6 linked regions of the Ovis aries genome follow. The protein of the gene in region 1 purifies or fractionates together with the protein of each later gene. This does not show direct contact. Links are inferred from orthologs where the notes say so. Each region holds a gene or a part of one and is shown in the gene's direction. Other genes may lie near its edges.

Region 1 (4,140 bases):
GGACTGATGACCCTGAGGGGCCAGGCTTTGGGCTCTGTATACACAGCTGCTTCCAGCAGGCCTAACCCAGTGCAGCAGTACTTAATTATCATGGAAAATTCCCTTCAAAGCAGGGTATACGATCCCAGAGTGGGTCTCTGATTAGTGGTAACTTCTAGGACCATCTCCAGAAGTATTTGGACCTGTTTCATCTGCATCTTCCAGTCCTACCGTTTTCCTTGGGCTGGATGAAGCAGGAGTTCTGCCTGCTGCCAGGAGTGAAAGGTGAAGAATTTGTTCCCAGCTCCAGCTGAGGCTCTTGGTCCCCTCTTGAAGCCCCTCACCAAATCCAAACCAGTCACAGGAGAATGAAGTAGAGATCTGCCTGGAATACCTACCCTACCCTGGAAGGTCAATATGCTTGTCAGTCCTGACCAGGACCCACAACCACATCATTCTGAGATCACTGGAGTACCCCAATTTCACACACCCCAAAGGAAGCTCAAGCTATAGTGACAACAGTCACACACTGGGCTGGCTGTAGTACCTTGGGGTTGGGGGCGGTAGTTATCTAGGAGAGCCCTGGCCTTTCTTAGCCCTGGCCTTTTAGTATTTGCTCTCCGTTTGACCTGTGTCCAGGGGGTGCTCTTGCTTGCATCTTAACTTTAGTTGACACACGATGTGGGTTTAAGCACAGCACATTGATGGTGGGTGGGGTGATCTGTGAAGATGATCAAAGCCTGACAAATGCAGTTTTTCTCATTTGACTCCACAACTATTGGGGGGGGGGGTGTTGCATAGATTGGAAATTTATTTCATAATATTTGCTGAGTTCCTGGTACATGCCAGGTATGGTACTGAGCCAGGTGCTGGGGAGAAAAAAAAAAAAGCCATGAATTAGTCAACTCCTTGCTCTCTTGGAGCTTACCTTCTAGTTTTCTATTTCATTTTATAGGCAAGGAAAGCAAGGCATAGATCTGTAGAAGGCAAAGGGCTGAGCTGAGACTTAAGCCCAGGCTGGATCCTCCTAGGGGTCTTGAAGCGGTCACTCCAAGGCACTGGTCTCCCATTCCTCAGAAGCCCTTCTTGTGGCCCTCCTTCCCTTTTTCTTTTTGAACCCTGGGGTGCAGTGGCCATCTCTGCTTCAGTGCCAACCTTGGAGGTGCTGCTTACCGGCCGACGATGAAAGCAGAGGGCAGGTGCGAGTACTAATCAGGGGGATCAGTAAACTAATCACTACTGGGCGGAGCGTCGGCCTCAAGCTCCGCCCCGGTGTCTCTGCTGGTCGAATGCGCACGCGCATCTCCCAGCGGCTCCGCCTATGATCGTGGGACGTCGACAGCGCGCGACACGGTCTCCTTATAAACGCGGTGGTAGCCGGCGTAGGAGCACTTCGACCTAGAGCGCCTGGGCATTCGGACGTTTGGCTAAGTGGCGGCCCGCGACGCAGCCCGCCCCTGCTTCTAGCTGTGCCATGGCGGACGAGGGGAAGTCATACAACGGTCAGTGCTGGTCCTTGGGCCGGGGAGAGGGGCGATCTGGAGCCCCGCTGGGCAGCGCCGGCCTAGGCCGCAGCGCCGGGGCGGGAGGCCGCGAGGGGCCGGGTGTCCGCGGGGAACGGCAGTGAGTGGCGCGGGCCCGGGGCGAGGCAGCCCGGGCCCTGGCTGAACTCGAGGGTGAGTGCCCGGCTCGTTGACCCCAGAATCCTGGCGCTGTGAGCACCTGCGGCTCGGAGCGGGTGGCTCGGCGGTGAGGTGACTGGATTCCTTTGAACTTTGTGGGTGGTGGATGCCTGTCAGTTCAGTTTGGCGGCTATAGTAATGTGAGTCAGTACCCTGTTCTTGGGCTGCCGGTGCCCTATTTTCTACCGTGCGTCCAGTCGGTCTTGCCCCCTCCCCCGCCGTCCGCAGCTTTAGCTTTAATATTCTAGACCTACACTTTAACTCACTGTTTTAGCCAGAACACTACAATGGGTTTAGATCCAGAGTAGTGGTTGTTGGCCATGCCGATCATATGTGAGTTAAACACTCAGGCCTGATTTTCCATCCCCTGAAGGAGGATAGAAACAGTACCTGTCTCCTGAGTTTGTCTCCATGTGTGTGTGTTTGTATTAAAACGAGATCGTGTGCGTCGAGCGCCTGACATCGGATAAACTTATTGATAAATGTTAACTGCACCTTCTAGTCGTCTATTTTTTCCCTAGGGTCGTTTCATGAGATTCAATGTTTGCAGAGTACTGGGCTTCCCTGGTGGCTCAGAGGGTAAAGTGTCTGCCTGCAATGCAGGAAACCCGGGTTCGATTCCTGGGTCGGGAAGATCCCCTGGAGAAGGAAATAGCAACCCACTCCAGTATTCTTGCCTGGAAAATCCCATGGATGGAGAAGCCTGGTAGGCTATAGTCCATGGGGTCGCAAAGAGTCGGACATGACTGAGCGACTTCACTTCACTTCACTTCATAGGGCTCTTTTTCAGAAGCCATTTCTACACACCACAGTTGAGAGGAACTCCAGAGTTTGAGAATAAAATTTATAAAAGAAACCATTAGATTGATCATACTTGTAGTTGATGTTTGTACTCAGTAGGCAAAAGGAGTATTGATTAAGTTAATGTAATCATTATGATTGGTTTACCTGGATATGAAAGAGGTCACTTGGGGTTAAGTTGATGTGGGTGGGCAGACAGCAGATTTCAGGTGACTTTTCGGAGAATGAGTTGTGTCCAGTTACCCTTGGGTCACTTCAACATTCACTTCAGAGTGGCAGTTTTTTAATATGGTTGATTTACAACATAATATTAGTTTTCAGGTATGACATGAAAGGGAACATAGTGATTCAGTATTATGATAGATTATACCCCATTAAAAGTTATTACAAAATAATGGCTGTCACCCCCCGTGCAATAATATATTATTGTTGCCTATCCATTTTATACTTAGTAGTTGCTGCTGCTGCTGCTGCTGCTAAGTCGCTTCAGTCGTGTCCAACTCTGTGCGACCCCATAGACGGCAGCCCACCAGGCTCCCCCGTCCCTGGGATTCTCCAGGCAAGAACACTGGAGTGGGTTGCCATTTCCTTCTCCAATGCATGAAAGGGAAAGTGAAATCTCTCAGTCGTGTCCAACCTTCAGCGACCCCATGGACTGCAGCCTTCCAGGCTCCTCCGTCCATGGGATTTTCCAGGCAAGAGTACTGGAGTGGGGTGGCATTAGTAGTTGGTATCTCTTAATCCCATAACCTTATCTTGCCCCTCCTGCTTTCCCTCTCCCACTGATAACCAGGAGTTTGTTATCTATATCTGTGAGTCTGTTTCTGTTTTGCTAAATATATTCGTTTTAGTTTTTACATATGTGATATCAGACAGTATTTGTCTTTTTCCGACTTACTTTACTAAGTATAATAACCTCCATGTCCATTCATGTTGTTGTAGTGGCAAGATTTCATTCTTTTTTTATGGCTGAGTAGTATTCCGTTGTGTGTGTGTGTATACCACATCTTTATCCATTAGTCCCTTGATGTTCATTTGGATTGCTTCCATATCTTTCCCTCTGTAAACAGTGTTGCTGTGAACAATGAGATGCAGGTATCTTTTTTTTTTTAATTGACCTGAAAACAAGTGAAGCTCATATGTATTCTTCCCTTTTTCTTAGTTTTGATGCTTTAAAGAAAAATCTTTATATTGGAGTATAGTTGATTTACAGCAGAGTGATTCAGTTATACATGTATCTGTTGTTTTTCAGATTATTTTCTCAGGGAGGTTATTACAGTACTGGGTAGAGTTCCCTGTGCTATATACAGTGGGTCCTTGTTGATTATCTGTTTCAGATAATAGTAGTGTGCAGATGTTAATCCCCACTTCCTCATTTAGGCATGCATCTTTTTAAATTAGTACTTTTTTTCTTTTTTCTGGATATATAATTGGAGTGAATTTGCAGGATCATATGGTAGTTCGAATTTCAGTGTTTTGAGGTGAGAACAAGACTTAAAAGAAGCCTTTCAATTGGTCGTAGTTGTAACTGACATTTGTGCTTTATAGGCAAAAGAAGTATTGTTTACTGAAAGCTGATGTAATCATTGTGATTGACTTTTCAAGATGTGATCAAATTTTGAGTAGGGGTAGTCTTAGAGAGTGAACTTATGGTTACCAGGGAGAGGTGGGTAGGGAA
Region 2 (3,500 bases), on another chromosome or scaffold:
GTTGCCACCCACAAACAGGAGGCTACATTTATTCCTTCTCAACAATAAAATAAGAGCCAGTTTCCCTATACCTTTGTTAATCTTAGGTATATTAAGATCTCTTAGGATCTTAAACAGTTACAATATTTTCAGATTATACAGAAAACATATCTTTAAAAGTCATGTAGTAGTTCATGGGGAAAGTTTCTAAGCAACTTCGTGTTTTTCAGATGTCTAAAGACACATCAAAGAAAGCATGGTTTGCTTTTAAAGCATTTACTAGCTGTTGGGTGGATAATGAAATTTCCTTAAAATATAGATACCAAAAACCTGTATCACCATCTATTTGCCTGTTTTCTTTTCCCCCAGTGTTCCTGATTTCTAAATCCTTCATTATTTTTTTAATTGTTAATTTTAAGTGAAGTGTTTCAGGCTATTTAATTTTATGCTCCCTCTCTCCCCTTTCTTTTAATTAAAATAGTTCCTGAATGTTCCAATGTTTCGAAATGTCTCTCTGAAGTGCCTCACTGAGATTGCTGGTGTGAGTGTAAGCCAGTATGAGGAGCAATTTGTAACGCTGTTTACGCTGACAATGATGCAGCTAAAACAGGTAATGTAACCCTCTTATTAAACTGACTAAACAATTTTAGTGCCTTAGAAAAAGTTGGATTTCAGTTGAACCATTTCACCACAGCTTAGCATAAATAGATCAGTGCAATTCTGTGTTTATTATATAAAATGAAGGGTAAGCTAGAAATTTTGAGAATCCTTGAAATGTTCTGGGAATGTTTTGATATGTAATTTCTGCAGAATTTAAAGTTTTGGTTACCTGGGGTTTAATATTCTGCCTTTGACCTTTCCATCTTTTAAATTAAAGGAATTGGCTAAGTCCTAGGTTGACTAAGTATATATGAAATTATCTAGAAGGTTAATCATAAAACTACATTGCTACGTAATATATTTGTAATCTGAATCAACTATATATTTGAACATTTTTAATAACACCAAGGTGGGAAAACTGATTTAGGAAAAATTTCAAAGGATTGTCTTTGAGGAAATCTTACTATGCTTTTGATTTTAAAAAAAAAGCTAGGACTGAAAGGTACAAAAATGGATATAATAGACCAAGGCATTTTATTGAAAGATAACTATTTATTATGTTTTAAAATTCATAAAATGTGATGGAAATTTAGAACTTAAATGTAGTAACTTTGTTGTTATTTTGAAGGCTTATCCATATTTAAATTTGCAGATGCTTCCTCTAAATACCAATATTCGACTTGCATACTCAAATGGAAAGGATGATGAACAGAACTTTATTCAAAATCTCAGTTTGTTTCTCTGCACCTTTCTTAAAGAACATGGTCAACTTATAGAAAAAAGATTAAATCTCAGGGAAACACTCATGGAGGTAGGCTTTGTGGAGCTTTTGGCTTCTGAAATTAATAATAATTGAAACTGCTTTTGTTCTAAAATTCTTTTGACATACTCTTTGACATATCTTATTGTTTGTCTGCACAATACAATACATGCTCTCAATTCTGGATTCTAGTCAGAAGCCAAGTGTCCTGATTTCTGTGTTCTATTCAATGTCAGATCAGTAATTTATAATGAAAATTAAATTCCAATAAGTGTGCATATGTGTCATTTCTGAGAGGCAAAGTCTAAAAACCTTATTGTAAAATAGAGGTGTAATAACATACAACTTTCAGGTCGCATGAGTGGCATTTAGTGCATTCACAGTGCTTTCAACCATCTCTCTAGTCTGAAACATTTTGTCATTACCCACAAAGGATAAGGTACCCATTGAAACAAGTCATTCCGTTCTGCTCTTCCCTCCAGTCCCTAGCAACAAGTAATTTGCTTTACAACTCAATGGATTTACCTATTCTAAACCTTTCATATAATTGGAATTATAATGTGTGGACTTCTGTTACTGCTTTCTTTCACTTAACATGTTACCATGTTATATAGCATACGTCAGTACTTCATCCCTTTCATGCCGAATAATATCCCTTTATATGGATATACCTCATTTTTTGTGTCCGTTCATCTGTTGAACATTTGAGTTATTTCTCCCTTTTTGCTATTACCAAATATCGTTTGATGTCCATACTTTTTAACAATCATGTAAGTTTCTTAGCATGTTCTAGGACATGTCAGAAGAAAGTGCACTTTGCTCCTATACAATTTCTATTGTATATTTGATAAATGGTGAAACTTCAGAGTGTACAAAAAGCAATATGAATTTTTATTTCCCATTAACATAGCAAATGGAAAACAGTTTGAGGTTGTTAGTAATGTCTAAGGATTGTTTTAATAGTTTTGGTATTCTGTGTAGGCCCTTCATTATATGTTGTTGGTATCCGAAGTAGAGGAAACTGAAATCTTTAAGATTTGTCTTGAGTACTGGAATCACCTGGCAGCTGAACTCTATAGAGAAAGCCCGTTCTCAACATCTGCCTCTCCGTTGCTATCTGGAAGTCAGCATTTTGATGTTCCTCCTAGGAGACAGCTCTATTTGCCTGTATTGTCCAAGGTAACAACAGTGTGTGGTTGAGTGTGCTTTCTCTGATTTTGGAGGACCAGATGAAAATGCTGGCTTTTATTTTTTGGCTGATTCTATCCAAGCACAATCTGTGAGTTTGTTAGAAATGCAAATGAGATGAAGGAAAGTTAACAGTTGTTTTTGTCCATGTTTAGATTGAAATTTATTGTAGAATTACATTTTAAGTATGTTTATTGTTTTATATTGTGGGCATGATTGTGTTTGGTATGTTGGTGTTAAGTGCCATTTTTTGAGAGTGGGAGTTATATTTGATGTAACTAATTTCAGAGATCTAACAGATTTTTTTTTTTTAATTGCTGAATAGGTCCGTTTATTAATGGTTAGTAGAATGGCTAAACCAGAGGAAGTATTAGTTGTAGAAAATGATCAGGGAGAAGTTGTAAGAGAATTCATGAAGGATACAGATTCCATAAATTTGTATAAGAATATGAGAGAAACATTAGGTAAGTTAATAAATACTATTAATTTAATCCTTATTTTTAAAATTGTATTCTTTTGTGGAAATACTGTTTAGGAAACATGCTTAGTTTCTGAGTCTGTCAATAGCCATCCTTATTAGAGTGCTGTTGGTCTTAGTAAAAATCTTTTTGCTCATTAAGTTTTGGATTTTAAAACGTGGAATTTTTTTCTTTCCTGTAGTTTATCTTACTCATCTGGATTATGTAGATACAGAAAGAATAATGACTGAGAAGCTTCACAATCAAGTGAATGGTACGGAGTGGTCATGGAAGAATTTGAATACATTGTGTTGGGCAATAGGCTCCATTAGTGGAGCAATGCATGAAGAGGATGAAAAGCGATTTCTTGTTACTGTTATAAAGGTATGTAAGAGATAGGTGTGAACTAGAACCTTGTTAGTGTATTTTACTATAAATGACTGAAATTTTTCTTACTTTACAGGACCTATTAGGATTATGTGAACAGAAAAGAGGCAAAGATAATAAAGCTATTA
Region 3 (3,500 bases), on another chromosome or scaffold:
ATGACTGAGATTTCGGACTTTTGGTGAAGAATAAATAGCACCTTGTTAAAGGAACGTAGTGCTTCGAAAGTAGTGGCTTTCTAACTATATTTTCTTTCTGCTTACTGAGAATTTAACATGTTCATGCCTCTGAGATTTGTGAAATCTTTGTATTTTATAAAAACTGTTTTTGAGTGCCTTTAACTTTGATGAATTTTTTTGTACCTGAAAGATTTATCTCTTCTTGAAGAGATTTGAATTATTTTATATGACTGTTTGAATGTAATTTAAAGTCTTAAATGTGAAAGATGGGTGAAATAGAGTAGTGCTATATGAGAAAAGATCCCTATATATCTTTCTTTGACTTTAGAAAAGACTATGGTTATATTGATACAGTTGTTAAATTATTTGTATTTAGAGCAATTTGGAAAAAAATAACTGAGGTTTGTTAGTGTCATTAATTTTATTTAGAAGTGTTGACAGTGTTCAGTTTATTTGATTTATTTGCTGTAGTTTCAATTCAGAATTGGAGTTGGAACTTCAGAGAAATTGTTTGAATATTTTTAAATGTGTATTTTTTGTCTGCTAATAATCTCCTTTTAACATATGTAAATAGGATCTGGAGTACATTTAGTTTCCTGATCTTCACATTGTTCTTTTGTGATATTAGAGCAGTGTGTTGTTTGTGAATTACCTTGGGACAGTTTGAAAGTGTTTTTGGAGATAATGAGACTTAGAACAGTGCAGAGGGAATTCCCTAGAGGTTCAATGGTTAGGACTCCAAGCTTACACTTGGGGCACGGTTTCCATCCCTGGTCCAGGAATTAAATCCCATAATCCCATGTGCCCCTTGGCATGACCAAAAAAAAAAGAGAGAACTATGTAGAAAGAAAAATAAGGTAACCCTGAATTGCTGTGCTAAACAAGCAGAGAACCAGTAGTGTTTTCTTTTTGTACTGTACCTTTATTATGGTACTTGTTTACTTATGGGTCTTTTGTGTTCATTATTTATATGCCGGTTTCCTTCACTAATTTTAAATTTATTGAGAGTAGTCATGTTTTACTTTTGTTTCTATTGTGGCACAGCCTGCCACATATATTCATCGTACCATAACTTATACTCAGTAAAGATTTGCTAACTTGAGATGAACTTAGAAATTTAGTTTATGAATGATTTATTATTTGATTGCCAATGGTTTTATTGAAAGGTGGTCATCTTTAAAACTGGAGACTTCTGTGTTTATAGAAGATAAATACAGATAATTTTTGTAAACAGGTTTTGCTTATTTACATATATTAGGAAAAGAAATACTATGAAAAATAGAAATTTTCATTAATTACTAGCTCTGTTTTGGTCTTTTGACTTCAGCTTTTCCTATGAAACTTTTCTTCACTGCTCCAAATATATTGGCTGATTTGAGCTTTTATATTCTTAGCATTATTATCCTTTTAAGGAAGTGCTTCCAAGGTAGAAAAGAAGTTAGGGACATAGGAAATCTGTCAACTAGAAAATGAGACTGAGTGATTGAGTCATTAATTTAAAATGAAGATAATCATCACATTTTGTCTATCACAGATGATATCATCAAATTGAATCGAAAGGAAGGAAAGAAGCAGAATTTCCCGAGATTAAATAGAAGACTTCAGCAAAGTGGTGCCAGGCAATTCAGGATGAGAGTAAGATGGGGTATTCAACAAAATTCTGGTAAGTTTTGCAAGTAAGCTTTAATAAAATGCCAATTATTTATGGGTTCATAGTATACTATCTTTGATATGTATTTAAAACATGGAGGGAATATATCAGTGATTTATGTTTTTCCTTCTCTCAGGGTTTTGTTTAATCTTATAATCTGGTAGCAATTCAGGTTTCCTTAAATAGGTGATTAACCGTGTGTCCTAAAAACATTAAGTCATTTTAAAGTAACCTCGGTATATAAAGTCTTTGTTATTTTTAGGGATAAAGATTTGTAAAGGATCTTCCATACCATAAAGTCTTAGTCCCCTTTGCGGTTAGATGTTAGTCTGTCTGATGGATGACTGTTTAACTCTAGCTTAAATACATTCAGTGGGAGAACATACCACCTCACAAGATAACTTATTCCATTATTGGAGACACACTGTTTACTAGAAAATTCTCTTAATTTGAATTAAATCATGCCTTCCTGTTAATTCTATAGTTATAGGAAACAAATTACCTTTCTTATATGAAAACCTTTTAAATACATGGAGACTGCTGTTTTGCACAGAAAATTATTTCTAGGTTACTTATCTTATGCAGGACCTTTAAGATTTGTTAAATTCTCCAAAGGTAAAACAGAATTGAATGCTTTAGATGTGGTCTGTTATTTTGGAACTCTACATATACAGTTATTTTTAGTAATCTAGAAGCTTATTTATTTATAACATCTTGTTCCAAAATGGACTTAAGGCAGTAAGGGAATACTATTAATTATATGTGACTCATTAACTTTGTTAGCAATTACATCAGCATTTTAGAATAAACATTTGTTCAGATTTTTAAAACTCAAGATCTTTTTTACACATGTGCAAAAAGTTTGATAAACTAATTCCTAAGTTGATTTTTGTCCTATATGTTAAAAAAACAACAAGTAATCTCCAATAGATTGAACATAATTAATCCTACGTTTAACAACTGATATGCCAACATAACCTCAACATATACCTGTAACTAAAATTAGACTGTACAGAAAAATTTATTCTTCCCTAATAATTTTCTTGGATAGCTGGACTCAAGAGAATAAATCTTGTGACAGGTATTTAGCTATAGAAAATTAATATTTAATTCCAGTGATTTATATTTTGAGGTTTCTTTATAAATGTTACTCAACATACCATAATTAAGTATGATTTATATTAAAATAATTTTAGAGTTCATAGAAGCCAGAAATACATTTGTTTATGTTAATCATTTGTTAAATACCTGATAAATACTCTGAACTGACCAGCTTGTTTGGGTTTGTAAAGACACAGTCTTTTACTTCAAGGAACTTCTGGTGACAGATAAGGAAAAACACTTGAGTTGAGAAATATCATAAGAGAAATTCTGATAGTACTATAGGATTTTAGATAGGCATTTTGTGCTAAGATAATCGGTGGTAATTTAATCAATAAGGTGAAATAGGATCTCCTTCATGAAGGATCAGAAAAGCTTTCCTTTTACAGAGTTTATGATCTCAGCGTTGAGCTAAAGATCTGCAAGTGCCTTAGGATCTTTTAAGATTGAATTTGTGCTTGTATGTTCTCCACTTCCATGTGACAGGGCCTAAAATAGAACAGCTGCTCCTGTCACTGAATGTTCAGAGAGAGATGGGATTTTCTTAAGCTCTGATTGGTTTGGATAAGTTCAGATTTCCACATTGTAATGTCAGTGAGAATGTTAGGTTGAGGTAACAGAATAAGCAGAGAGCCCTTACCAAATAATCATTTATTTTTGATGACTGAACACATAAGAGAATAAAGTTTTCACAATTCTATTCCTGAAATGTAATTTAGTCACTCAA
Region 4 (3,500 bases), on another chromosome or scaffold:
TCCCCGCTTACTGAGAGGTGGGTGACACTGTCCCTGCCTTTTCAGGTAACGGCACTTGAGCTTAGAGCTCTTGGGTTGAGTGCCTCAGATGATGTAGCTAGCATGGGCCAGATGTGGGATTTGAACCAGCATCCCCGTGGCCAGTCAGAGCAGCTGGAGGCGCCTGTGTGTGCTTGAGGTGGCCTGCCCTGCACATGGCCTATCGCCTCCTGCCCCATGGGAGGGTGGGCAGCTCATGCTGGACCGTCTCAGCCCGCACGCCTCTGGTCTAGGGGCAGTAAGCTGTGTGTTAAGGCAACAGTGTTTGCCTCACCACAGGAGACCAGTCCAGCCCCACCCGGAGTAGAGCCGCCTCTGCAGATCCCTCAGGCTGGCCTGTAGCAAGAGTCGCCGGGCTCTGACCTGAGCACACGCCCGACCCCCGCCGTCGCAGGGTCAAGCTGGCGGTGTCCCGGGTCCTGTATGTGCCCCAGAGTAGAGCTGTATGCAGCCACACTGACCCCGCTGCCTCGTTGTAGAGCAAGGCTAATACCTTCTGTCTCCTGGCTGGTTTTGAGGTTGAATGAGGTGTGAGAGCATCTTGGCCGGGAGCGCTCAGGGCCTGGCAGGTGTGTGTGAGCGTCTCTGCTGCTGCACTGCCCGAGAGCCATTTCTATTCTCTATACTGCGGTCTCTCCACTTCCAACCCACCAGCCGACTGGTACTTGTGACCTCTCGCTCTGTTGGTGTCACTAGATAGAGGCCGCCTCCTGGCACCACCCCAGGGTCAGGGCAAACCCGGTTTTAGGTTTTTACTCCCAGGAGCTGAGCCCCCGCTGCATGGCTGGGCGGAGCCTGGGCGGGTGTCAGCTGGGTCATGGTGGGGTGAGCCCTGCCCTCTTGGCTGGCTCCCCTGAGGCCTTGCGGAGCGTGGAGGAGATGCCAGAAGGTTCGGGTTCCGTCCAGGGTGTGCTGCTTGTGTGGTATCTGCGGGAAAGTTTCTGTCTCTTTCTGAGCCGAAGTTCCTTCAGCCAGAGTGTGGGAGTTATGGTGCCCACCTGACAGAGGGTCGTGGCGCTGCAGTGGGCCGACCATGAAGCCCCTTGCCCACATCACTCGGTGTTGATGTCTCCCTCTCCCCGTCCCTACCATGGGGCTAAGCCCCACAGGCTGACGGGACAGGCGGACACAGAGGTGGATGTCACAGCCCGTGTTCCTGCAAATTGCTGGGCCCAGCTGAGGGGCTTGCTGCTGGGCCGTTTGTCGTCCCGCATCCACCCGGGATGTGGCTGGTGCGGCACGTTGGAGACCAGGGCCTCCTGCCTCCCCCAGATCCTGGCAGCAGCTCTGACCGAGTGCCATCGGAAGTCCAGTGCCCAAGGCAAGCCGCTGGCACTGAAGGTCTTCGTGGCCGGCAGAAACCGTCTGGAGAATGACGGAGCCACCGCCTTGGCAGAAGCTTTCGGGGTGAGTGGTTTCTGCCCTCCCTGCCCTGGGGCAGGCTGAGCATGGCCGGCGGACGCTAGAACTTGGCCAAGAGACCTCGGGCGGCTCGCCTCCCCCTCCGAGGCTGCTAGCTCACCCTCTCGGGACAGGATCCTCATCACTCAGGTCTGAAAGGTGGCGTGATCCGCCTTCTGGGGTGAGTCATCAGTGCTGTTTGTGACCTGCCAGTCTGGGGAACGAGCGGCAGTGCCAGAGCAGCCTGAGTGCTGGCCCCGGCCTGTGGGGTCGCAGTCTCTGGCTCCAGTGAGGAGGGTGCTGGGATGGAGCCCGTGAAGCTGGCCCATGAGCCCGGGAGGAGGGCAGGAGCAGCAGCTGGAGCGGGCGCTCTCAGGCGTCCTTCAGGGCAGGGCGTCTAGGTCAGCTCCGTGGACTTCCCCGGCGGCTCAGTGGTAGAGAGTCTGTCTTCTAATGCAGGAGACACAGGAGACTGGGTTCGATCCCTGGGTCAGGAAGATCCCCTCGAGTAGGAAATGGCAACCCGCGCCAATATTCTTGCCTGGAAAATCCCACGGACAGAGGAGCCTGGTGGGCTATGGTCCGTGGTGTTGCATAGAGTTGGGCATGACCAAGCATGCACGCTGTGGGACCCCACTGGTCTGTGAATAGAGCTCAGGAAGGCTTTGAACGCGGCCAGGGGGATATTGCATGATTGTTTCACTACCAGAGCTAATAAAATGCAGCATTTACCTTCCATGGTGAATGTGGACAGTAAACTTCAGCTTCAGAAATTCTTGTGGCTTTGTTACCAGGAGAAATCACAGGTATCTTCATGTCAAATGATAGCAGTTGTGGATAGACAGAGTTATTTGTTTCTCATACATTAAGGTTAATGGTACACCAGGGTACACCAAGGTCTTATTAAGAGGTATGTGTATGACTACAGCAGACATTTAGGCAGTTTTCTAAATGTTTTGATACTTGTCTTCCAGTTGAATTGATTTGTTAGTCTGTATAAGTTAGCTTAAAATTTAAAAACATCCAGAAGGTGAGCCCTGGGGCTTTACCAGGTTGCCCGATGGTCCGTGGCACAGAAAATATTAAGAGCCCTGACTTGGAATGTGCCTCAGTTGGGCTGCCTGTGTTCATTTGTGAATCCCCATGCTGTGCTGGGCACCCAGAGCCGACAAGGTGCCTGGGTACAGAGTTAGGCCAGGCCTGTCCTCAGCCCCTCCAGGGTGGTGTTGGAGACTGGGTCGTGGGCCTCTCCTTGAGATCTTGGGGGCTGTTGGGATGCAGACAGGAAGGTGGCTTTGACACTTCAGAGGGATGAACACCGTGAGAGGGCAAGGATGAGGCACTCTGGGGGCAGAGAGGAAGAGTGCTGGGTTGTGCTGGGGGTGGGGGTTGGGGTAGGGTAATCCAGGAACTCTTCCTGGGGGAGGAGGCATCCAAAATGAGAGCTGTTGAACACATGAGGATCAGCCTGTCAAGAAAATGCCAGCAAAAGGAGGAGACAGAGTGTTCCAGGCAGAGAAAAGGAGGTAGGGAAGACTGGAATGAGGGGGTTCGCTAGGTTCAGGAAGCCCCCTCACTCCCAGAAAAGGATGCAGAACGTGGGCTGCCACTCGTACTCTGTAAATAAGGCAGCAGGATCCCCATGAAGAAAGGCCAAGCGGCGCTGCATTATACAGAGCAGGGCCTGGGCTGACTGCAGGCCAGAGCCCAGGGTCCCTGCAGTGCAGAGGTGCCAGACAGAGACGCCAGTGCTCAGAGCTGTGGCCCTGGGCCAGTGACTTAGCCCCTCTGATCTCAGTCATCTGTCTGGTGATGGTCCTAATCCCAGGTAGGTCTCCCTCGTGAGACTGGAGAGGATCAGGTGTGGTTGTGCCCCGACAGACAAGCCCCTCCCATGCCTGGTGGGTGGTACTGCCCTCTTGCCCGCGGGGTGTCCCCTGGCCCCGCCCCACACCTCGGGGCCCACTGCTCTCCTTCCTGCCCCTGGCAGATCATCGGGACTCTGGAGGAGGTCCACATGCCCCAGAACGGCATCAACCACCCCGGCGTCACTGCCCTGG
Region 5 (3,336 bases), on another chromosome or scaffold:
TGGAACTGTTGACAAACCTGTGGATTTATCTACTAGAAAGGAAAATGATGCAGATTCTACAAGCCAAGGTAAAATTTGATGTATGTTTATAGCAACCTTGTAGGCATGAATTTCTGCATAAGGTACAGTGGTTCTGAGACGATACTTTCAAATGTACATCCAGGAATTCCCTTTCTTAAACTGAGATGTACAAAGGGGCATGAGGTAATTCAATTTTCTTAGTGAACACAGAATCTTTACATAGCTATTTCCTGAAATCCTTCTTGGAATGAATGTTTGTTTAGATGATACTAGACCATGTGAAGCAGAAGCTATGTAGCTCTCTGTCTGACTTAGTATAGATCTACATCTCATTTTTTTAAATGATCTTAAGCATGCTGCTTCTGGTGTATTGTTCATTGAGAATAAATAGTACCTGTAAACTTGTAAGTTTTCTTCGGAGAAATAACTAGATTATAAATACTCCTTACCCCCACCCCACCACATCAGTAGCATAGCAGGTCCTACCCTTCCCAACATACACACACACATACGCCTTCCCTTTGGGTCCTGGGTAAATCTTTGATGTTCAACATATGTTAAATGAAATACTAAAATTGCTCTTTTCCTTTGCCAGTGGAAAGCAAAACAGTTACGTTTGGATTTGGAAGTGGCACAGGGCTGTCATTTGCAGACTTGGCTTCCAGTAACTCTGGGGATTTTGCTTTTGGATCCAAAGGTAAGATTAGGAGGAGAGGCTTCAGTGACTGTGTTACAGAAGTGGGCACCCCTGGAGGGTGAGTCCTTCGTTGCAGGGTTGTCGCTCACCAAGAATTTTCTCTTAATTCATTGTCACTTGTGCTAGTCTTGCCCATCCTGAAATGCAGAACCCTCCCTCCAGTTTTGGAGTAACTTTGGGATTGTTCTTCTAGTTATACTTTTGATTTGCTAATATTTCAAGATGTGCATCTGTAATTGTTTAGGAGATGACTTTGAAGTTTTCTATTTTTGCATTATCCTTGATTGTATTTTTCATATAAGGGTTGTGCTAATTTATAACTGGTGAGCTTTCCCATCTTTTCCAGTGGTTTTTCTAGTTTTGGTCTGTTTTGGTATCATTTGTAGAAAATAATCCTTTTCCTTGTTTATGGTATACTGTATTTTCCTATTCTTAGATATCTATCATATAACAGATTACAGCACCACCACCTAAACTGAATTGATGATTTGCAGAATAAATTTTATTGAAGATATATAATTACATGATTAATTCAAAATAGTGTTATTCCATCTCACATATTTTACTTGTGTCACAGCTCCATCATTTATAGAAACATATATAAAACTTTAAGAAATTACCTTCAGATGTTGTGTTACTTTGGAATTCATAGCCTCATTGATGTCACATTGCTTTATTTTTAATTTATTTAGTAGTTTGAAGTCACAGGATAATAGGTCAGCAAATACAGCAATAGAATGGGTACAATTACCCACCAATGAAAAGCCAGATACAAGCTGATGTGTTAGGTTGCTTGATACTCCGTCAGTGTTGTGCAGTAAAGTTGACATCGAACAGCTCCAGATCTGTGTGGGAGGCTTGCCCTGAGTTACCTGCTGATTCAGTGAGATTATCCACCAAGCTCTTTTTTTTTTTCCAAGCTACACCTTTTAGTTTGTGTCCTTAAATCTGACAGGAATTTGTACTTTATCTTTTCAAATAAGTAGCTTTTGGTTTTATCAGTTCTTTTGTTTTTTTATCTCCAGATTTGTCATTACTTTCCTTTAAATTATGATTAGTTTTCTTATGTATTGAATGTCTACTTTAATTAATATTGTGCTAATATTATAAGCACAGAATAGTATTTTGTAACTGTAAATTCCCTGGAATCCATTTCATGTATTTTCATGGGGAGTTTTCACATTTGTAAATTTTTAATACTTTAGCCTTTGACTAAGAGCTTGTAGGATTTAAAATTTTTTTTTTTAATGAAGGTCAGTTTCATCAGAATGATTTTTTGCTTCTCAAACATATTTCTGGCCTTGTGTGGACCTTTTTGACCTTAAACTTTTTGTTTTGGTTGGTTTTAAGTCCGGAGGAGTCTTTTCTTTCTCCTCTTCTATTATGTGTTATTTCTGTGGTGATTGCTTTTTCTTCATCTGTTCATTTTATTTTTGTCTCACTTTCTTTTCTTTTGTTCTTTTTTCTCTGTTTCTCCTGAAAGTCGTCATCACACAGGTCGACCAGTCACTCTGTGTCTTTTGTGTAATATTTCATATGGAAACTAAGACAATAAGAAACAGCTGTTTATCTGCTGCTTCCCTGTGCCTGACATTTTATCATATTTCCTTGAGATTTTGTAATGTTTCCATTAAACCCAGAGTGGAAGCTTCCTAGGTATTGCTACCTAGAATACAGTTGTTGATATTGATTATTGCCAGACTTATCTTTATACTTTTACTGAATAAATTCTTTTTCCTGCCCCTTTAGAGCAGTGGTTTTCAGTTCTCTGCTTCATATTAGAATTCCTGGGAGCTTTTTAAAGGGATAGGTGGAACACTTGATAGTTAAGTCATGTTGGGCTCTGGGTGTGGGACCCAGGCACTGGTATTTCATAGGAGCTGTTGGTGTGATTTTAATATGCACCCAATGTTACGAACCATTGCTTTAGAGGAATTTTGAGATTTTCTGCCATATGTCTCAGGGTATTGGGGTAATTGAAAATTTTTTTCTGCTTGGGAGCTCCTAACAAGTGCTTTTTGAGCTTTACACCTATGAATCAACTAGGTCTATGCTTTATTCTCAGGAAGCCCCCACACAATCTGAGATGGTACTTTTGTTTGAGCATTCATTTGCTATTTATTCGTATGACTTTTTTTTTTCCTGTTTTTTTTCCTCCCAGTTAAACCTGTCTTAGAAGAATTTACTGTTTCATTAGACACTCATTTTGTTCTTTCTTCAAGGTGCTGAGTTTTTAACTGATCTGTGACAATTTTTGCCTTCTCCTGAGTTTTTGTATCAGATGTAGGATTAGAGAGCAGTGGTTTGTCAGTCAGCAAAGTGATGAAGAATTGAGAGGTTTCTTTCCGCTAAGATAGTGGGGAATGTATTAATATTAGCAGGCTGGGTTGTCAGAGTTGAGATGTGGAAAAAACAGCATTTAGTGTTCACCTTCTCCAGGGTGGGAGGGAGGGAAAAGTTTTTGTTCCCCTGCGTAGGAGTGGGGAGCCTTTTCACCCATTAAGCCTGGTGTTGCTTGAGAGAGGGTGGGGTGGGGTGGGGCCAGTGAGCTGCTCCTGGGGCCACCAGTGCCACCTGGGCAAGAAGTTGAAGCTCTCATTCCATTTACCTTAGAAGAG
Region 6 (4,242 bases), on another chromosome or scaffold:
TATGTAAAGGATCGGTATTGCTTAATACTTTTAGGAAGAACTCTGTTAAGTAGATAACAAAAAAAAAAAAATAAGGGAGAACAAACATAACAAACGATGAAACTTCTATTTTCTCACTAGAGATTTTCTTGAGGTAGACCAATTCCTTCCATAATTTGAAAAGTTATGGCAATAATGTAAAACCTTAGCATTACTCTCAGATAATTCATTTTTTATTTACCTGAAGACATGCTAATTTAACTAAGTCCCCTTTCTCCTGTACTGCGTATCCCACATCTATACATACCAAGTGAAGTTACATACAGCAGATGAAAAAGGAAAAAAAAATAGAAATACCTAAGAATTTCCTCTTGTTTTGTGGGACATTTGCAACTCATGTATTCCAAGTATTTACAGTGCAATGCTTTTTTTTAACTGGATGGTAAAAAAGTGAAATCTGTATTTATAGAGCTGGTGTCTGGCAAATACACTGTATAAAATTGAAACTGCACTTTTAAGCGATTCTAACAAAGAAAAGATTTTCATTTATTTGATATACAGAATGACTGAGCAGCAAGGCTGCTTACTCAGAGACAACTTAAGAAACTCCCCATCCTCAGGATACAATATTAGTGGATGAGATGTGGTACTACAGTGCAAAGCAGAAAGCACTAGAAAGGGGGCACAGATAACACTTTGTGCGTCAAATGCAAATGGTTTCAGAATTGCCACTACCACAAATGATTTAAAGATTTAGGATTATGTCACGATTTCAATAAAAAGAGGTGGGTGGGGGGACCCTCTACTTCTTTGTCCTCCTGACTCCGAGAACTCGGACCGTGTTGGGGAAAACTGGTGGCCGGTTCGGAAGGGGCAGAAGGGTCGGTTCAGGGCTGCCGGTCCCTTGGGGGCGTCACCCCTTTTGAGGCCCATGGTGGTTTTGAGGACCACTACTCAGACAGTCGGGGTGTAGGTGGTTCTCACTCTGTCCCAAGCTCCCGATTACCTCTGACGAGCCCCAAAGATCAATGAGTAGCAGTCGAGGTCAGGTCCCCTAGCAGAAAGGCGGCGGCAGCAGCAACATCAGCGGTTAAATCTTACACCTTTCATGAGGCCTGAAAGAAGATTACCACAGCTAAGGGTCCCTAGATGCGAGGGAGGGTAAATGAAGGCGGGGGGGGGGGAGGAGAATGAGGGAAGGAACATGAGGGGAACACAGGGAAAAGGCGGGGGGAGGGCGGGACAACGCGGGGAAGGGCCAAGGGTTTACAGACAGGATCTCCGCGTTGCCACGGAAACGTATCCCTCCGCCCAGGATTCGCGTTTCAACCCCATCAGTTACCTACGCACCGCTTCTCTGCTGTTTCCGCCCAGCTCCTTTGTGCCGCGCAGAACGTCGAGATGACGCATGCGCAACGGAACCCAGCCGCCGCATATATAAGCGCGAACCCAGGCGCTTCCTCGTAGTGCCGCCGGGACCGTTGGCGTGTGAGGCGGTTTGGTTGGTTTTGTATTGATCGTTCTCTGGGCGCTGCGAGCTGAAAGAGCCCAGCTCGCAGGCCAGTCATCATGTCGCGCTACGGGCGGTACGGAGGAGGTAAGAGGCTGGAGGCCAGGAAGGGAGGTTGCTGTGGGTGTAGTGAGTATTTAGAGGTCGTGAGGTTGGCGCGGCGGTTGGGAGACGGTTATTCCGCGTGCGTAATGGCGGCTTCGGCGCACACCATACGAAGCTGGAGGCGGCGGCCGCGGGGTTTCGCAGGAGGACGGCGGGTGGCTGGGGTAGGTTTCCGGCGGGTATCTTTCAGTTCTTGGGCATCTTAGTCTCCCGCCCAGCCCGAGCCAGCCCCTCGATCACTGTTTGTTGTTGCCCTTCTTCGAGCTGCCCGCCTGCCCGCCCGTCCCCCACCCTCCCCCCCCGCCCTCGGCTGCCATTTTGCGCACATTGACGACCATGGTGGCGCATTTCTTTGGCGCTTTCCCGCCACTTTAGCTGACAGATGTGGTCGCAGCCGTAAAAGAAAGGATGAATTTAAGACTTAGAAAACTGGCAGCTTCGAGCTACGCATTCTCGTCAAACGGTCTGATTGCTGAGTGGGCATGGAAGCGTGATTTTTAAGTCTGGCGGCTGGTTTTTCTCTCTTGGCTTTTTCGAGCATGGTTTATGGCTTCTGAGGCGGGGAGCTGGAGTCACGGGCGAGCCTGCGCCTGGGGCGCCTGCTGCAGAGTACTGGAGTCGGCGCAGCCCCGCTCCCGTTCCGCCTTCCGCTGGGGCCCGCTCACCGAGAACGCCGCTGCCGCCGCCGGCCCGCGCGTTCTCGGTGTGCCTGGGGCTGCCGGGACTCAGGGGCGGGACCGGGGCGGAGTCCGCTCCACGCCTCGGAGTATCCTACCACGCTGCGGTGCTCGTATTTGGAGGTTTCCCGCGGGGCTCCCCCCTCCATTGAATGTTAAGAACTTGGTCGTACGCTTAGCTTTTCAGAAATGTTACGAACTTCGCTGGTTTAAAGACTAACATTAGCCCTTGATAGAGTATTAAATGTTTTGCACTGTAAAAAAGAATATATGTAAAAAATTCAAACTTGGGCCAGATTATTTGCATAATGTGCACTCTTTCCTTTGCGTTTTTTAAACAGAAACCAAGGTGTATGTTGGTAACCTGGGAACTGGTGCTGGCAAAGGAGAGTTAGAAAGGGCTTTCAGTTATTATGGGCCTTTGAGAACTGTGTGGATTGCCAGAAATCCTCCAGGATTTGCTTTTGTGGAATTTGAAGACCCTAGAGATGCAGAAGATGCAGTTCGAGGCCTGGATGGAAAGTAAGTGAGATCTTGGTGAGAATGTTCCTGTGTCAGGCTTGAATTTTGTAGTCTGGAGGAGTTTTTAAATAATTAGCTGATCACTTTATGAAGACAGGAAATGAAAGCAAAAGTGAAGTTTGAAGGACTTATATAGTTGGAGCTTCTGAGGGCAAAGAGAGTGGTTGGAAAGTGCTAAATATAGAGCTCACCTTTTTTTTTTTTGGCGTTACAGTTTTGTTGTTGTTTTTTGTAGAGTTATTTGTGGTTCCCGAGTGAGAGTTGAACTATCAACAGGCATGCCTCGGAGATCTCGATTTGATAGACCACCTGCCCGACGTCCCTTTGATCCCAATGATAGATGCTATGAGTGTGGCGAAAAGGGACATTATGCTTATGATTGTCATCGCTATAGCCGCCGAAGAAGAAGCAGGTATTTATTTTAATAAAGGAATGGTTAGTGTACTAGTTAATCAAGTAATTTTTTTATTAGCAAGGCACAAACGTATTTTTCTGTAAACTTGAATGTTAATTGTTACAGGTGTATTTTACAATTTTTGTTTAATTAAAGAAATGTTAATGTATTAATAATCAACCTGGTCAAAACCTTTCAGGTTTCTTCGTTTGAGTCAGTCGCCTTGATTCAGAATGTCACGAGCCTTATGATATCATGCTGAGGCGCCTTGCAAATCCGACAATTAAGATCCTCCTAGACCTTGAGGTGATCAGCATAAGAGGCCAGATCCCCTCGAGTCATCTACACCTAGCTTCACCTTATTCTTTAAAGGGCAGAAAATTTGAGACGGTGATCGCCGTAACAGTAAATTTGGCTTACAATTGGGGGCCCCTCCGGTTTAGAAAGAGGAACACCAGATTGACCACATTCCCAACTAGAAAAATCTTCTTGCGTCAATCAAGCCTCACCTGGCTCATTTGGCTGTCAGTTTGATCGTCGTGTAGATTGAAGAAAACATCTAGATGCAGCGATCGGCTATAGATACTTCTAGATCGTCTAGATCTACTAGACCATGGGCCAAAGAGGGTCGACCTGCAAACTTGCAAGGTTTATTTTAAATACACATTACAGTGTTTTATATTATGTTAATCTAAAATGTAATTGAGCTTTTAACAAATCTTTTTTTAGGTAGTTTAAAAAAAAAAAAAACGACAACTAATAGGCCCAGAGTTTATTTCCAAATGAGACACTAAATTTAAATAGTTTTGAGATTTGGTTTCAGCAGAGGCACACAGACTCTAAGAGGAGTTGCCATCTAATATTATGTTTTTTTCTGACTTGAAAAATAGGTCACGGTCTAGATCACATTCGAGATCCAGAGGTAGACGATACTCTCGCTCACGCAGCAGGAGCAGGGGAAGGAGGTGAGAGATCTTGTTTAAATTTCAACTTGTAAGTAGTGGTGAAGTTTAATTGGAATCAAATTGAAATTACTTTGATTTAATGTTTAGGTC

The links.
Region 2: the proteins of NXF1 (region 1) and XPO1 purify together in Homo sapiens (affinity purification with mass spectrometry; 3 studies listed by BioGRID and IntAct, with this or other methods). This does not show direct contact. The link is inferred for Ovis aries from reciprocal best matches to the Homo sapiens genes NXF1 and XPO1.
Region 3: the proteins of NXF1 (region 1) and FYTTD1 purify together in Homo sapiens (affinity purification with western blotting; 3 studies listed by BioGRID and IntAct, with this or other methods). This does not show direct contact. The link is inferred for Ovis aries from reciprocal best matches to the Homo sapiens genes NXF1 and FYTTD1.
Region 4: the proteins of NXF1 (region 1) and RANGAP1 purify together in Homo sapiens (co-immunoprecipitation; 3 studies listed by BioGRID and IntAct, with this or other methods). This does not show direct contact. The link is inferred for Ovis aries from reciprocal best matches to the Homo sapiens genes NXF1 and RANGAP1.
Region 5: the proteins of NXF1 (region 1) and E3 SUMO-protein ligase RanBP2 purify together in Homo sapiens (co-immunoprecipitation; 5 studies listed by BioGRID and IntAct, with this or other methods). This does not show direct contact. The link is inferred for Ovis aries from reciprocal best matches to the Homo sapiens genes NXF1 and RANBP2.
Region 6: the proteins of NXF1 (region 1) and SRSF7 purify together in Homo sapiens (affinity purification with western blotting; 3 studies listed by BioGRID and IntAct, with this or other methods). This does not show direct contact. The link is inferred for Ovis aries from reciprocal best matches to the Homo sapiens genes NXF1 and SRSF7.

Annotation. Positions count from the first base shown.
Region 1 is NC_056074.1:37,645,512-37,649,651, reverse strand, and holds the start of NXF1 (nuclear RNA export factor 1), read left to right. Parts: upstream 1-1,340; 5' UTR 1,341-1,453; coding exon 1,454-1,481; intron 1,482-4,140.
Region 2 is NC_056056.1:46,606,438-46,609,937, forward strand, and holds part of XPO1 (exportin-1), read left to right. Parts: intron 1-460; coding exon 461-589; intron 590-1,231; coding exon 1,232-1,390; intron 1,391-2,320; coding exon 2,321-2,518; intron 2,519-2,852; coding exon 2,853-2,991; intron 2,992-3,187; coding exon 3,188-3,369; intron 3,370-3,448; coding exon 3,449-3,500. UniProt on the Homo sapiens protein: Mediates the nuclear export of cellular proteins (cargos) bearing a leucine-rich nuclear export signal (NES) and of RNAs.
Region 3 is NC_056054.1:191,214,674-191,218,173, reverse strand, and holds part of FYTTD1 (UAP56-interacting factor), read left to right. Parts: intron 1-1,555; coding exon 1,556-1,684; intron 1,685-3,500. UniProt on the Homo sapiens protein: Required for mRNA export from the nucleus to the cytoplasm. Acts as an adapter that uses the DDX39B/UAP56-NFX1 pathway to ensure efficient mRNA export and delivering to the nuclear pore.
Region 4 is NC_056056.1:218,235,226-218,238,725, reverse strand, and holds part of RANGAP1 (ran GTPase-activating protein 1), read left to right. Parts: intron 1-1,311; coding exon 1,312-1,446; intron 1,447-3,430; coding exon 3,431-3,500. UniProt on the Homo sapiens protein: GTPase activator for RAN. Converts cytoplasmic GTP-bound RAN to GDP-bound RAN, which is essential for RAN-mediated nuclear import and export. Mediates dissociation of cargo from nuclear export complexes containing XPO1, RAN and RANBP2 after nuclear export.
Region 5 is NC_056056.1:62,089,397-62,092,732, forward strand, and holds part of E3 SUMO-protein ligase RanBP2, read left to right. Parts: coding exon 1-68; intron 69-616; coding exon 617-718; intron 719-3,336. UniProt on the Homo sapiens protein: E3 SUMO-protein ligase which facilitates SUMO1 and SUMO2 conjugation by UBE2I. Involved in transport factor (Ran-GTP, karyopherin)-mediated protein import via the F-G repeat-containing domain which acts as a docking site for substrates.
Region 6 is NC_056056.1:85,423,837-85,428,078, forward strand, and holds the start of SRSF7 (serine/arginine-rich splicing factor 7), read left to right. Parts: upstream 1-1,442; 5' UTR 1,443-1,548; coding exon 1,549-1,576; intron 1,577-2,612; coding exon 2,613-2,793; intron 2,794-3,028; coding exon 3,029-3,205; intron 3,206-4,077; coding exon 4,078-4,152; intron 4,153-4,239; coding exon 4,240-4,242.